Linked DNA regions of Saccharomyces cerevisiae S288C. Changing the gene in region 4 together with the main gene of any one other region gives a genetic interaction. Each region holds a gene or a part of one and is shown on either strand. Other genes may lie near its edges. The genes, in order: PGU1, FEX2, RGT2 and GRC3.

Region 1 (3,307 bases), on a different chromosome or scaffold from region 4:
TCATATTGGTAGATGCACTGATATTACCGAAGACTTTGTCATTACTTTCTCATGTACGCTGGATTAACGCTATTGAGGACGGTTTTTTATGTAACTTTTTCAGCCGCAGCGTTTTGTAGGCAGATGAAGTGCGCTCATTCGTTTCAATTGTAGTACTTAGTCGCATTTACCATTTTTTTTACCAATTATTGACCTTCCTGTTTCAGACGATCCCAAGGGTCCAGAATGAAACATAAACTATAGTCTTGAACAGAGATTTTCTTCTCAATTAGGACTTTTAGGCTCTCATTGTTGCTATCCGGATGAGCATAGCGTATCTCTATTATTAAATGGCAAAAAAGATACCAACTTGATACAAATCAACAGTAATAATTAGACCTGAATTTACAAAAAAACCCAGCATAAATTGCCGAACAAATACCAATATTTTCCTGCATCTTTGTTCTGTTATGTATTGAATAGTAAAGAAAAGAAAAGAAGGTATGTATAGTCATATGAGTACTTTAAAAGAGGATTAACAGCTTGCACCAGATCCAGATGGGATTCCAGAACATCCAGAATAGGAAGAACCACCGGTAATTGACACCCCAGACCATTGCCAGTTAGTAGCGTTTTTCACCAAAATTTTAACCCTCTTCGCTGTGGAGTTCACGCTCCCGGTGATATCCTTCATTACTAAATTCGAAATGGGAACGCCACCTGTAGCAGTTCCAGTAGTCTTACTATTCAAATAATCGCCTTCGATAACAATACCATAACTTTTTATGCCGCTAATTTTATTACTGATAAAGTTGACATTAGTGACTGTGCCTGTCGCACCTTCTACGGTTTTTATTCTCAACCCGTTGTCAGAGTTGATAACATGGTTATTTTCAGCCCAGAAACCATTGACTGTATTATCAGAACGGCCACCAACAGAACCTACAGAAATACCATGGCCATTGTAGCAGTAGTTGTTCATAAATTTAATAGTTGAACCGGAATTCACAGCAATACAGTCATCCTGATTATAAACAGTACATCCTTGAATTAAGACGTTACTAGAACTACCAACATCAAACCCATCCGTATTATGACCACCAGCCGAATCACCGTCTCTGATATCAATTGTTATGTCGCTGATGGTTAAATCTGAACATTTATTGATGCTGAAGACTTGGTGTGGAGCATTTTTAATATTCAATCCGGTGACCTTAGATGTTCCCGTCAACGCCAACTTTACAAACTTCGGTTTGACTTTACCGCTATCACCTAAGCCATCCCACCATTTTGCTCCTTGACCATCAATGGTATGTCCCGAAGCACCAACAACGCTGATTTTAGACCCTGAGATTGAAATTAAAGGGCCGCTCCATTCCTTGTACTGAAATGTGGTTGTGCCTTCAAACGTAACAGTAGTACCACTGCTTAACCCAGTTAAATCTAAAGTCTGTCCAGCTGGGACAGTTAAGTCTTTAATAACGATGCTGCTACATTTTTTCACGGTTGAGAGTGAAGACAAAGAAGATCCTGTTAGGGTACAGGAATCTCTTTTTGACAAAGGTGTTGCGATCGCAAAAGCGCACAAAGTGGAAATAAGTAATGAATTAGCAGAAATCATTGCGTTTGTCCATCAATGTGGGTAGATAGTCTTCCCGTTTGAAGTTCTGTGCGTTTTTATACCTGTATGGAATAATTGTGAAACCACATTCTCACAGTAAAAAAGTATGTTCATGTTTAATATCCCGAAAATGGGAAATTGGTATGATTGTTAAACGAATGCACGAGTATCATGCATCTAGGAGAATTATAACTCGTACATTCTGGGATTGAAACTCGTGGCCGTTTTGTATGGGACGGATATCCTAGGTTTTAAATAATAGCGTCAAAAAAAAAAAATTCAGTGACTACGGAATAACTCTCTGTTTCCGTTACAGCTAAAGAGAATTCACAGCGTTAGAGAGTCTTTTATTCAAGAATTAGAATGTAAGCATCTCTCTTCAGTGAAGAATTTTTTATCAGACTTACATATTTTTTGAAAAAAAAATTGATTTATTGCGAATAAATGACTGTAAACTATTTTTTTTCGTACAATGCACCCATTAATCTAATCCTTGGCCTTTGTGCAGCTATTATCTCTACGGCAAGATCACTCTTACTCATATCCGGTAGTTCAATGGTCTTCTAATAGCTAATGTGAAGACGTTGTTCTTTACGATACTTTCAAGAGGAAAAAGAAACTGAATAATGAGGAAGATGGATATGAAACTTCTTAGAGAAGATTATAGTCGTCATTGTTTTAAGAATCATTTAAGTTGTCAGATAGCTTTCAGTTGCCAATTGCATGGCCGTGCTAGCAGTAACAAAATTACATAAAATACTCAATGTTGTATGTCTAATAGCGTGGTAGCCATTTTTAGTCGCCTCCCCAATCCTCCAGTTATATTTGCTTAAATTGATAATTTGTAATTAAACTGGAAGCTATAACGGGGGCATTTCCACTCACAAAAACTCAATGCCCTTTAACCCCTGTACTGCGTTTAACATAACTCGTTTATCACAGGATTATTTTAGGCACAGTAACCGAGTCTTGTCGTAGTAGCGTGATTCTATTCAGTATTGAGAAAATTTCAGCGGTTTTTTAGACCACAATTATGCGTACGCGCGAGATGTATTCTCTTATCTGAACGTACCAACGACCACATATTATTTTCGAAGTTGGACGAGTATAGAGTAGCGCTATATGTCATCTTCACACTACCGTCTTATCTTTTTTTTTTCTTTTTGATCATTGCCACTATCAAAGGGTCGTCAGAATCATTTTCATTACGATATTGTCTTTCTCACCGCCAAATTTAATTTTCAAGTACGGCTGATCAACTTTTTTTTTTCATTTCTCGAGGTATCCTTACCTGTTCCTCGATTCACGTGCTCAGTATCTTGCTCTTCATCGTCAAGTATGTATGAGGCAGGACAAGTCGACTTGTCCTTTACATCAGTCGAGAAATCTTCTACACCAAGAGAATGTAGCTTACAGAAATTCTACTTTGATAAAAAATTCCTTATTTTGATATTAAGTATTTTAGTTTTATATATTCTTCTCTGATAACAATAATGTCAGTGTATCTCACCACTATTTCATAAAGTGTATCTGAAATTTGGATTTTCAAAATCAGTCAAATCAGAAAACTCTAAATTCTCTGTTTCTTCAGGGAACCCTCTCTCGGCAGCTATCTTATCACGTCTCTTGTTTTCCCTTAAATTGACGATGAGCAGTATAGATAGAAGCACGATCATAACAGCATAACATACGACCATAGCGACCTTA
Region 2 (3,478 bases), on a different chromosome or scaffold from region 4:
AAAGAAAACGGCAGGTCGGTAGCACTCGATTTTGCTAGAATGGAAATCATATAGAGAACAATTGAATAGTAGGCCTTGGTTTTTAGTGTTGTACTCATCATGGTCATATGTGACATAGGTAATGTACATATATATATAAAAAAAAAAAAAGCAATGCTGTGAGATCATTCGTTACTTACGAAATACGCAGATTGCAATTTGAAATAAGCTGTGTTTTCTTTTTTTTCCTTTTTTTTTCTTTTTTTTGGCTTGTTATATACAACTTTTTTCTATTTCTGTTCTTTTTAGAAGTAATTAATTGGTACATAGGAAATAAATATGAATTATATTAAATGAAGTAAAAGTAAAAGAAAACGGGGAAATTTATCGTTTTGTAGTAAATAGATGATGGAACGCATTCATAAAATCTCACAAAATATTACAATAAACCGCAGTAGTCGGTAAAAATGTATTATACAACGTCTAAAATCTTGAAAATGAATTAAAAAAAAAAAAAGGTGGGATGATTGTGCAGGAAAAGGTATGAAGAAAAGATCCTAACAAATCGGGTTAGTCAATCCTCTAGTCCAAGCATAGGATCCGAGAGTTATCACCAATAAGCAATATGAAATTCCAATCGAAACAGTATAATAAATAAGCATGTTAATAAATGATAGCTTATACCCTTCATTGATAAACGTGCTAATGGTACTCAAAGTGCCGCAAAATCCGGATATTAACGCAGAAACAATATGGCATGAATTCAACGAGTTCACAATTGGAATATCCGTGGAAAAGTGTTTTTTACCACGTTGCACCATGGTAAATATGCCAATCAATAAAGTGGCGAAAACGTTTGCCAAGAAAGTACCCAATGGAAACTTTTTGTTTGTTTTATTAAACATTTCTGCCAACCAATATCTTAGGAAACCAGCGAAAATTCCAAATAGACATGGTAGTGTCCACTTGCCCCTCGAATAGTTCTCATAATACGCACACAGCACCACAAACAAAATAATTAATGGAAAAGCTAGTGCGTACGCGAGTTTATCCACAACATCAAAAAATTTCTTAAAAAATGGTGCTGGAGTTTTGAATTTAAACTCTAGAATATTTTTTTCCATTTCTTGTGTATCAACATCACCAGCATTTTCCTTTACAGTGTCTGAGGGAGGGGTATATGGCTTCGAAAACGAACTAGATCCATAAGCAACAATAACCTCCTTACCAAGTTGCCTACCGAAAATAAGACTACCCATGGAAACCATAAGATGAACGAGCAAGACAGATAAAAACTCCATTATACCGTAAGCTCTGTTCGGCAGTTTTGTGTGGTTAGCGATATTACCGTTAGTTAAGTTTGTAGAGTGTTCGAACATCTCTAGCAGCATACTAGAAAAGGAAGACAGGGCACCACAGTACCCAGTAGTTACACCTAAAAACAAGACTTGGTGATCTTTCATCCAAGTGTAAGCATTTAAAGATTGCATAATCCCCATTAGCATGCAGGATGAACAATTAGACCAGAGAACGGTCGGAGCAGTAACGAAGGCCGGAGTGTAGGTGGAAAGCGCCGTTATAGCCTGACGTGTTTCAGTACCTAATATGCAGAACGTGGTGAATGTACAAAAAACATGAATATAATGGCTCAACTTGTGATTTGATATGACCGGATTGAAAATCATCAGAGCATTACACGCTCGATTAAATAATTAAATAACTGCAGATTCTTGAGCCACCAGACGCTAAATAATAATGGCGGCAATAAATATAATCCTTTAGTACTTATTTCAGTTGTTTTTTGTTTTATTTTTTCCGTATCTCTTCCGTATCTCTTCCATCATTGCGTCAAAAGTGATTTACACTGCTACATGAATCGCGCCACTTTATGTCAGTGAATCTTTCATACATCGCAACTCCTCACTGACAGTGACTCTAGCAGAGTCACCATCTTTTCGATATACCCATCAAAGTGCACGATTCTCCTCCCCTGTTAGACAATCGTAACGTAATATCGACATGTATTCGTAGCACCGCTGCCAAATAATTTTCAGATCGTTCATTGTACATGAACCAAGCGCTGTTGCTTTACTTTATGATATTGCTGCTGAGCTCCCTTGTCTTTCATACGACGTTTTATCTTGATTTCATATCTTTTTTTTTTGGTAAAATAGAAAATACTCAACAGATATCTGATATGTATATAAACACTAAATAAAGAAAATCTTAAATCTTGCTGGCATGACTGTCGCTGTGTCTCAAATCTCTTAGTAATTCATAGATGTGTATCACCCCAAATCTCAAAAACTTCATAATTATTATTGGATTATCTAGAAATCATACCCTTCATACTGTCCCACAATGGCCTGCTCACATGAGGCGCTAATGATTACGATTAACCATCAAATCATTTATATTGATACACTGTAGTTTACTGTTAATAACCAACCTTTGTCGAGATTCATCAAAGTGGGTTCCAAATCCCTCATTGTGGGAACCTGGTTCAGTCATACCCATTGGAGATGGGCCCCAGGAAGGAGTGTAACAAACTTCATCCCAATTGCATTGCCTCTCACAACGGTAATTTAGTTCAATCCACCCTAGAGATTCAATTAAACCATCGATAGTGGAGCGAGCCGTTTCGACATTCTTTATTAAGTCGCTGGAAGTTGTGTTATCTGTCATAAAAGAGTAGACTTCGGGTATCAATAAATCATTCACTTTATAAATGACATCAACAATTTCTCCGACAACGCTGACAGCAGATGACCAAATCAAAAAGTCTGCATCCGTTTTTAAGGCCTGGTATGGGCTCACATATTGGTAGACAAAAGTTCAATGTGAGTGCTGTTGCATTGATGGCAATTGACTCATTAATATCACCATCGCTGTTCAGTATGTTACTAACAGATTTTAGTAATGGAGCAAATTTAAGGACAAGCTCATCAAATGCTAACTGCCAATCCATACTTTGCGTGGCATCAAATCCGACTTCCAGCGCCTTTTCTAAGTCATCTACCATGTCCAATTGCTTTTCCCATGTCATTCCTTCATCGAGTAATCTTCTGTTGTTAGGATCAGGAGCAATGTACGTCCTGTTTATCCCGCTCACTAGGTACCTATAGTCGATATGGATTCGATGCTCCCCGTTGTCATGCGCTGCACCCGCTCTCAACTGATTGAAGCTTTTAACTGCGTTGAAATTAGAAAAAGCCTTCTCCCAACCATCTTCTCTTTCCAGAATCGCCTTTTGGTCATCTGTTAGCTGATCTTCAACTAGGCTTCCATTTTCATCCAGAGGCCAACCTTCTTCCTTCGATATTACGGTAGGTGCTGGTAAGCCTAGGTACTGGTTAGGCTGGACCATTTCTAACATTGAAACAAGTTCGACGTTATCAGCCGAAAAATCACACAAAACGACCTCAAAGCCAACCTCTACCCTGATAATTCCGTCAAGCCCGAATGGCTTCCCCCATTTGCATATTCTAGCAGCGTAGAG
Region 3 (4,686 bases), on a different chromosome or scaffold from region 4:
CGTTACATACAAAGTGTCTGCCTTATCTTTAGCCTATTGCAACTTGAGTCTGCGTAGAAAGTTTCCGAAGAATTAAACTACTATTAACAAAGGGAATGGAAAGAGCTAAAACAGTTCAACCGATAACAGGTGACGAGGTAACAATAATCGCACACGTCCGATCTCCTGTAAGGGTATATGTGTACTATTCAAAAGGAGTACGTGGAGGTGCAAGATCGAACAACAACAACCCGCATCTGGAACCCGGTGATTTAGGAAACCATACATCGTTAACGTACCACATGATGTAGATTATCCGGGTAATAGTTATGATCAGTTGACCCATTTTGTATTCCACTTGACACCGAATTAACGAGGAAAAATCAAACTCATGGGCTACTTGTGAGTAATGTTATGTGTTATCTATAATTCTTTTCTATGTCTATCATGTTGGAATGTTAAAAGAAACTCAAGAGTGCGTGTATAAGAATAATTTATATAAAACGGTTTATAAGACCTCGAACGATCGTAAGATGCTATTGGTTTTTATTGGGGGGAAGTGTATTGGCTGTGCTTACTAGCGAGGTCACTCGTCCAATTAGAGGACGTTCTTGCATTGCTATTGTGTGATGGAGAGAACGATGTGTCGTTGCTTGTAGTAGATGAGCTATTGATTAGTTGAGCCATATATGTATTGACGCTGTTAGCTCCATTTCGTTCAGTGTTGTTATTGTAATAAGAAGAGTCATTTTCCTCATAGAACTCATCAGTAGAGTCAGAAATGATAGAAGGAGGACCTCTATTGTATGTATTCAGACCCAAACCATTCCCCAAGTCGACGTAATTTACTGGCGGATGTTCCACGGGTTTAAACTCTGTAGATGTTAGGGGGGCAGTATCGATGATGTTTACTAACGAGCCACTTCCTTTATCCGCCGCAATCATATGATCATTGGACTGTATTTGGTTCTCCAAGAATCCATCCACATCGATTATGTTGTGGCTGTCATCCTGTACAATTGGACTGTTGTTGTTGTCCAACTTTCCAGCGTTCTTGATATTAGTTTTCATCTCTATTTGTTGTGAAATGGGAAAGGCTAAGCACCTTTTCCTTATTTTTTTGTTCCATTTGCTAGAAATGACGCTATTTGGGGCCTTTCTAAATAACTCGTCAATCTCTTCCAAAGTCAATCCCCTCGTTTCATAAACAGCGAAATAAACAACGATAACGGCCACGACATTTAAGCCGCCCCAAATGAAGAATATTTTGGGCCCCATTGAAGAAGTGTGTGATCCGACATCAACAATGTAAGGTGTAATCAGGGCACAGGTGAAATTAACTAGCCAATTTGCGGCAGCGCATATGGCGGTACATTTCGATCTGACACCAAGTGGGTACAGTTCAGCAGATACCACCCACACGACACCACCCCATGTCGCCGAAAATGCAGCAATGAAAAGGCATATAAAAGCAATCATAATTTTACTAGCAACAACAGTTTTTCCCTCGGAAACACCAACGATGGCAATGACTAAATTTGCTATTGCCATTATGACACCTCCAGCAAGAAGGACTGGTCTTCTACCAATTCGATCCACTAAATACATACCCGGTATACTGAAGGCGACGTTGACGGCATAGCTGATAAAAGAAACCAAGTAAGAGTTGTCCACCCCTGTGTTGTTGAAAAAATTAACTCCATAGTAGAATATAAAATTGATACCAGATGCCTGTTGAAAAGCTTGTATGGCGATACCAGTAAATATTCGTAAAATCTGTTTGGGTCTATTTTCACTTGTTTTGAAACAATCTAAAAGTGTTGACGGGCCGAACGATGCTTCATAATCGTAAGTGGCTTTTATTTCAACAAGCTCCTCTAAGAGTCTTGGATCTTCGATCGGGAGGCCTCTTAAAAAGGATAACGATTTTGCAGCTTTATTGAGTTCATCCTTCAAGACGTAATATCTTGGACTCTCTGGAAGGAATATCATGCCCACAGCTAAAATACTTGACCAAACGTACTGCAAACCAATTGGTATTCTATATGAAGACGGGCCATTTTTGGAATGAGTTCCTTGCGATACTGCACTGGACACGAGTAACCCAATAGTGATAGCCCACTGATAACTGGAAATGATGGCACCTCTAAGGTTCTTCTGCGCAGCTTCAGCTTGATAAAGAGGAACCACAGCAGAGATTATCCCGATCCCGATACCTGAGATCACTCTTCCGACGATTAATAGCACCAAGCCACCGGATGCCACCTGTAATGAGTTTCCGATGGAAAAGATAACAGCGGTACTAAACATAATTGTTGGCTTCCTACCATATGAATCTGAAATATAGGGAGCGATTAACGCACCGAAAAATGTTCCTAGGGAGAGGAATGATACGAGTATGGCTATTTGGCTAGTGGTGAAATATGAATGGTTCGGAGCAATGTAGGTTTTAACATACGGCATATCCGTGATACTGTTTATAAGTCCAGTGTCATACCCAAACAAGAAGCCCCCCACGGCAACAAATATGCCTACCAAGACAGACATCACATTCGATCGCAGCGGCAGCGGTTGCGATAGTAGAATGGACGTGGTTTCTATAGCTCCATCTCCCGCCGGCTCATTATTTGTGTAGGAAATTTGGTATGCGTTAGGATCGTCGCACATCACTATGGACTTTGCTTCCGTGTCATTCGTAGATTCTGTGTATGCATTGCGGTGTGGCATGTTGTTATGATTTATCGTACATTCTGCACCCTGGTGGTGGCCGAAGTCATTTCCAGGATTCAGATGACTATTTTCTTCCCTCTGTCGTAGGCAGTTTTGGCTATCGTTCATACAAGCAATATTCGAGATATTTCCATATATATATAGTGGTTTCTGTGCAACTTGATGGTTTAGACTATTGATACTATTCCTGATCTGCTCTTTAATTTCACAAGCGAATGCCTTAGCGTCAACTAAAAAAAATGAATACTGGATGTTATATGAAATTAGGCAAAGGTTTATTGTTCGATGCTCTCCACTTATGAAATAGATACGCTGAAGAGCTTATGTCTGTTCCATGTATATGTTCTACTTTCGAGGTGGAGGAAGAAGCAAAGGGGAAGCGTGTACGGCAGGTAGTCACCGTTGAGTCGGTAATGAGATAATAGCCAAGCGCGGAATTAGATTTTTTTTAATAATTTTTGCCCATTGCGGTAAGTATCACACTTTTTCACATATGAGCCGATTAAATTCTTTGTTCAATTTATCTCGGGGAGGAAAACTCAGATAAGAAATGACGGAGTTAGATTGAAAAAATCGGAAATCATTTTGTTAGGCATGCGGTAGAATTGGATAGGGTAGCGGCGACATCTCTATGCCGATGGACGATGCAGGAACAGGGAACCCTTTTCTTGCAAGGAAAAAGGCGCTAGTATCACAATTGCTACTTTTCATTAAAAGGTTATCTGTGCCATGTATATACCCTGCATATCTGAAATAAAACAGATTTTTTTTTTGTGAATTGGGTTTGACTTACTTTGTTGTAAGGGCTTCAGCTTGTTAGTTAATTTTAAGGAATTATTAAAAGAAAAAATCCTGCTTATCATTTTTTTTTTATATTTTGTTGTTGGTTTCAGGAAAAAGGGAGCTTTGCAAAAAAAAATAAAAAAAAATTGACAGGATGATCTATAAATATATTAATTGACCTATATAATGGTTTACACTGTATGGTTTCTAATCTGTACAAAAAAAAAAAAAAAAACCCTACAGAAATATGTTAAACAGCTAATAAACGAAATCCAATAAGAAGAAAATGTACCTCAGTCCAAGAATGGGCTATTATTATTTTAAGTTTCGAAAGTTTTTCCACTAAAATCAGAACTAAATAATGGAATGGCCGTCTGCCGGATCAGCATAAAAACATCTTCACAAGTTTCATACTTTTTTTGTCTGAAGCTGTGAAGCTTTACTTTAAGTAACTGTCATCTTTTCCTATTGTAACGTATTTTATATAATGCGCAGGCGGAAGGAGAAAGTTTCAAGGGCGCCATGAAAAAAGCTTCAGTACCGCGATTTTTCAGCTAATGGATCAGATGATATATAAACAAAAAGTGGGATACAGCATATCGACGCCTCCACTACAAATTAACAGAAGGATGAAAACCAATAAGAAAATTTCTAAAAGAAGAAGCCTGAAAAATCTCCATGGTGCCTTAAAAGGACTATTGAAAGAGTCCGGCAAGAAGAGTGAGTCCAAAATACGAAAACATAGCGATTGCAATCCTGTTCATCGAGTATATCCGCCAAATATCGAAAAACGGAAGACCAAAAAGGACGATGGAATTTCACGGCCAATTGCTGAAAGAAATGGTCATGTGTATATAATGTCCAAGGAAAACCACATCATCCCTAAACTAACCGATGATGAAGTCATGGAGCGCCACAAACTAGCAGACGAAAACATGAGAAAAGTGTGGTCCAACATCATAAGCAAATACGAGTCTATTGAAGAACAAGGAGACCTCGTAGACCTGAAAACTGGTGAAATAGTTGAAGATAATGGGCATATCAAGACGCTGACGGCCAACAACAGCACGAAAGATAAAAGAACAAAATACACAAGCGTGCTCAGAGACATTATCGACATCAGCGACGAGGAAGATGGTGATAAAAATGATGAATATACTCTTTGGGCTAACGATAGCGAGGCAAGCGATTCAG
Region 4 (4,017 bases):
TGGATACGCTAGCGTGCCGACATCCTTTCTTAGGTCAAAGCAAACCACAGTTTGGTCACACTCTACTACCATCCAGTACCCATTGTCTGCAAATTTAACCTCTTTTATCTTGGCTTCTTCATCTACGGGGAATCTAGAGCTTGCCTGGTCAGGTGATGACAAGTTGTAAACGTCTAATATACCGTCCGGAGAGTAAAGGGCTAATAATAATGAATCCTTATGTAGGACACCGCTGCTGTACTCAACATCTGATTTAGCAGAATGAACAATATACTGGGAATCATCCTCGTAGGATTGAAATCCTATGGTTCCTCTATTATCCGCCCAGATGAAGTACTCTGTGTTGACCTCGTTGTGACCATACATATATATAATCTCATTGGCGGAATCTACCTCTATTTCTCTGAGGACTTTGTTTGTTTTTGAGTCCAATATAGTTATTTGGTTACCTGGATATAGTAGTAGCAAACGATTACAAGGCCCTCTGGAAATAATAGCTGGATGCTCTCCCCCGGTACGGGGATTTGGTGTAGTTATTGTGGTAATCGTTTTCGAATCTTTTAATTGGGTAAAATGTAAAGCACCATCCTCACAGCGACACATGCACACCCATTTATCATAGTACATAGATTTGTTAAGCTCTTTATATGGGAATGTTTTGATGTTACGGGAGTAATTTTGTGCCTGTAATAGCTCCAAATTTTTTAAAATCGGCCATTTGGGTGCTTTGAGCTTGCCCCTCGCTACAAAGTCTCTAGAAGATTGTAACAGCCCTTGTAAAAATTCTTCTCTCGTAATAGCTACCGCTTGCTGTGAGGATTTGGGTAAATCCTTCGAATCTTCGTTTTTTTCCATCAATAGTTGCGCAGCGACCAACTTTGCAGCATCTCTTTCGTACATTACAGTCGACAGTTTTTTCGTTAAACTATCTAGAGTTGATCGTAACTTAAAGTTTTCGAGCATTATAGCATCCCATTCATTCTGTAAACTTGTCAACAGATTCGGAATCGAATAATTCGCTTTTAACGTAGCAGAGTTTGTAGACTCTGTTAGTGAGGCTTGTTGCGCACTAGGTACGATTTCCACTATTTCTTCGATGCTTAAGGGCTCATTTGTTATCGGATCATTCCCCGTATCTTTAACATACTGTTCAAGGAGCGACTTTTCAAAAATAGTCCTGGATTTAGGTGATAGAACTGGCCTTCTAGGAACTTTCCCACTAATAGCACAAAGCATTGTTCCCTAGTTGGCTTTCTTGGCTATGTTTTGGTCTTTAATATTTCTTGGAAAGTTTGCATCTTTCTAAAATTGCCCTTACGAATTTTTCACCGCTGCTACCCGAAAAAGTACGAAATTTATCAACATGAAATTTATTCCTGCCAAGTCATCGAGTGCTCTGCGCCTAAGGCTTAGGTTGCATTTAAGTTGTCTTAATTCACGCTTATAGTGCAGGTAGTATAGGTTCCCCACTCCTGATCTTTCCCTTCTGAAATAAGGAAAGACTGCAGTTTAGTTTGGCAGAGAGAAGAAGATAATCATTTCTATTATATTCTACCGCTATGGTGATAGATTCCAAACAGGATCTACCTCAATATACCAAAGATTCAGGTTCAGAATCGGACTCAGACTCAAGTAATAATTTCATTGTGGAATCTCCGTCAATTCCATCTTCAAAAAGTGCAACCGTAGTTCTCAATAGTGAAGAGTATGAGGACGACGAAGGTGATGACTTGAACGGGCTGGATGCTGAATTGATCGATAATATAACGTATGAAGGAGATGAAGATGAAACTATGTTTGTGGGGTTGAAAGAAAAACAGAAGTTACATTTATCTGGTGTTTTCCGGCTGCAAGTGGTGAAAGGAGGTATTGTCTACAACAATGTACACTATAACGCTTCGAGAGAAATTTTAACCTTCTGGCACCCGTTATCACAGTCCATACCTACTATAGATTTTTCGCACTTTGCAGGCTGGCAAGACACTTTTTTTATGCCGAGAAACAACAGGTTTAAAATTAGAGATGAAGAATTCAAATCATTTCCATGTGTTCTTCGCGTTTTTAATTCTAATCATACGGGCTTGTTAGAAGCAGGTCATTTATATCGGGATGTTAATTATCTATGGAAACCTAAAGAACCTTACTTTCCATTAAACGAGAGAACAACGTATCATTTATTACATGAGTCAGACCGAATTCAATCTTTATCCGTGCCGGGATATTGGTCAACTCCGTTAGAGAAGTTATATTTGAGTCACAAGAACGCTGCGTATGATACAAGAATCATGGTGATTGGTGGTAAAAACTCTGGGAAGTCTACATTCTTGAGGCTTTTATTGGAAAAATTTACGCAAGATATACGAGATTCTACTACGAGCCAGGAAGAATTGGTATACCTGGATTTAGATCCTGGTCAACCTGAATACTCACTACCTGATTCAATATCCCTGAATAAGATTCTTTCCAGCCCTATTTCTCTCGGACAACATCTCTGCCAAGGTTCAAATTTCCAAACTTTGTTACAGTTCTACGCTGGCTCCTCTTCCCCGCAGGACGAGCCCACATCATACCTGAACTGCGCTGATAAACTTATAGACCATTTGGAAGAGCAAGCCTTCTTCGGAACGTCATTGCTTAATCTACCTGGGTGGATAAAAGGATTCGGGATGCAGATTTTAAATCATATAATAAGGAAATATAAGCCCACTCACTTATTGTTTTTGGAAACAGCTAATTCGAAAAGACACCTGGATGAACTAACAATTCCACAGAGTTTTTCCACATCACTACGAGATGCATATGCACCTGAAGTTGTTCGCGTTCCAGCCCATAGTCTGAACCACACCTTATCTTCTAGGTTCCATGCATCACAACTGAGAACATTCAAAATACTGGCACTGTTTCATAAAATAACTCAATTTGATTATGATTTTGCGCCTCTTTTAAAATCTGCACCTTTGCAAATTTCATATGGCAAAGGTAAAAGCGGTATTAAAGGCATTCAATTTCCTATGGAATTCCAGGATCTGAATCCTCAAGATATCAAGTCCGCATTGGAAGGTACTGTCATTGGGATATATACATATTCTGGAGAAGACTCACTAGAGGTGAAATCCTTGAATACCTTTCCCATCCTACAATCGTGTACTTCTTCTTCTAAAAATTTCATAACTCTGGGGCTGATACACTCTATTGACACCTCCCAGCAAATAATGAACATTTACGTGCCACCTTGCCATACCCAGATTTTAGATAAACAACCTGAGGATGCTCAATGGATAATAGTAAGAAATAAGACGGAAACTCCTTTTTGTGACTTTCTTCCATCCCCCCGCACAATTACATGGGATGATAATATACAAATACCGTTCGCAACTTTTGAAAGAAGGAAAAAATTGGAACATGTGTGGAAAGTTCGTAAGAACGTCATGAGACGTGGCCAATTCATGAAAAGATAGAAAGAAAAGGTAATCGTACATTTTTTAATAGTGAAAGATAGAGGATACACAAAAATCATGCAAAGTTTTATATATTTGTTATGTATACTCATATTCCTTCAATATCTAAGTCATACTAACTTCTAGGGACTTTACCAAAATATTATTTATAAATTTATTGTTTCATTTCTTCCGCATCCTTCATCTCCTCCGTTAAACCCATTTTCTTATTTAATCTATCATATTTCAGTCTATCTTTATCGCTCACAGAGGGTTTAATCTTTCTTAATGCACTTCGGAAGTCAGACATGGTCACAATAATTTCTTCGCCAGATACGCCAACCGATAGATCCTCAAATTCCTTGTCTAAGTCATTATCAAGAACAGATTGTATTTCTTCGCTCTGAAAAAACTTCCTTTTTAGAGCCAAGACTGAACTCTCCCTGACTAAAGCAGCCAAGTCAGCGCCTGAAAAATTGTTGCACTTCTCATTTCTGATAATTTCTTCAAAATCAACATCGCTACTCAGAGGTGTTCCGTGTGATTTGGTCAAAGTTTTGATAATATCTAGTTTTTCCTC

The links.
Region 1: mutations in GRC3 (region 4) and PGU1 together harm fitness more than expected from each alone (negative genetic interaction), as found in Saccharomyces cerevisiae (one large-scale study listed by BioGRID).
Region 2: mutations in GRC3 (region 4) and FEX2 together harm fitness more than expected from each alone (negative genetic interaction), as found in Saccharomyces cerevisiae (one large-scale study listed by BioGRID).
Region 3: mutations in GRC3 (region 4) and RGT2 together harm fitness more than expected from each alone (negative genetic interaction), as found in Saccharomyces cerevisiae (one large-scale study listed by BioGRID).

What each region holds. Positions count from the first base shown.
Region 1 is NC_001142.9:721,108-724,414, reverse strand, and holds PGU1 (endo-polygalacturonase), read right to left. Parts: upstream 1,601-3,307; coding exon 515-1,600; downstream 1-514. Other genes in the region: DAL5 (allantoate permease), read right to left, coding at 3,118-3,307.
Region 2 is NC_001148.4:12,692-16,169, forward strand, and holds FEX2 (fluoride transporter), read right to left. Parts: upstream 1,665-3,478; coding exon 537-1,664; downstream 1-536. Other genes in the region: YPL278C (uncharacterized protein), read right to left, coding at 2,362-2,664; YPL277C (uncharacterized protein), read right to left, coding at 2,714-3,478. UniProt on the Saccharomyces cerevisiae protein: Fluoride channel required for the rapid expulsion of cytoplasmic fluoride.
Region 3 is NC_001136.10:211,482-216,167, reverse strand, and holds RGT2 (glucose sensor), read right to left. Parts: upstream 2,818-4,686; coding exon 526-2,817; downstream 1-525. Other genes in the region: SCM3 (Scm3p), read left to right, coding at 4,122-4,686. UniProt on the Saccharomyces cerevisiae protein: Low-affinity high glucose sensor that is part of the sensor/receptor-repressor (SSR) glucose-signaling pathway, which detects extracellular glucose and induces expression of glucose transporters that bring glucose into the cell.
Region 4 is NC_001144.5:67,021-71,037, forward strand, and holds GRC3 (polynucleotide 5'-hydroxyl-kinase), read left to right. Parts: upstream 1-1,559; coding exon 1,560-3,458; downstream 3,459-4,017. Other genes in the region: E3 ubiquitin-protein ligase PRP19, read right to left, coding at 1-1,236; putative AAA family ATPase RIX7, read right to left, coding at 3,613-4,017. UniProt on the Saccharomyces cerevisiae protein: Polynucleotide 5'-kinase involved in rRNA processing. Required for the efficient termination by RNA polymerase I and the processing of the IST2 pre-rRNA internal transcribed spacer localized between the 5.8S and 25S rRNAs.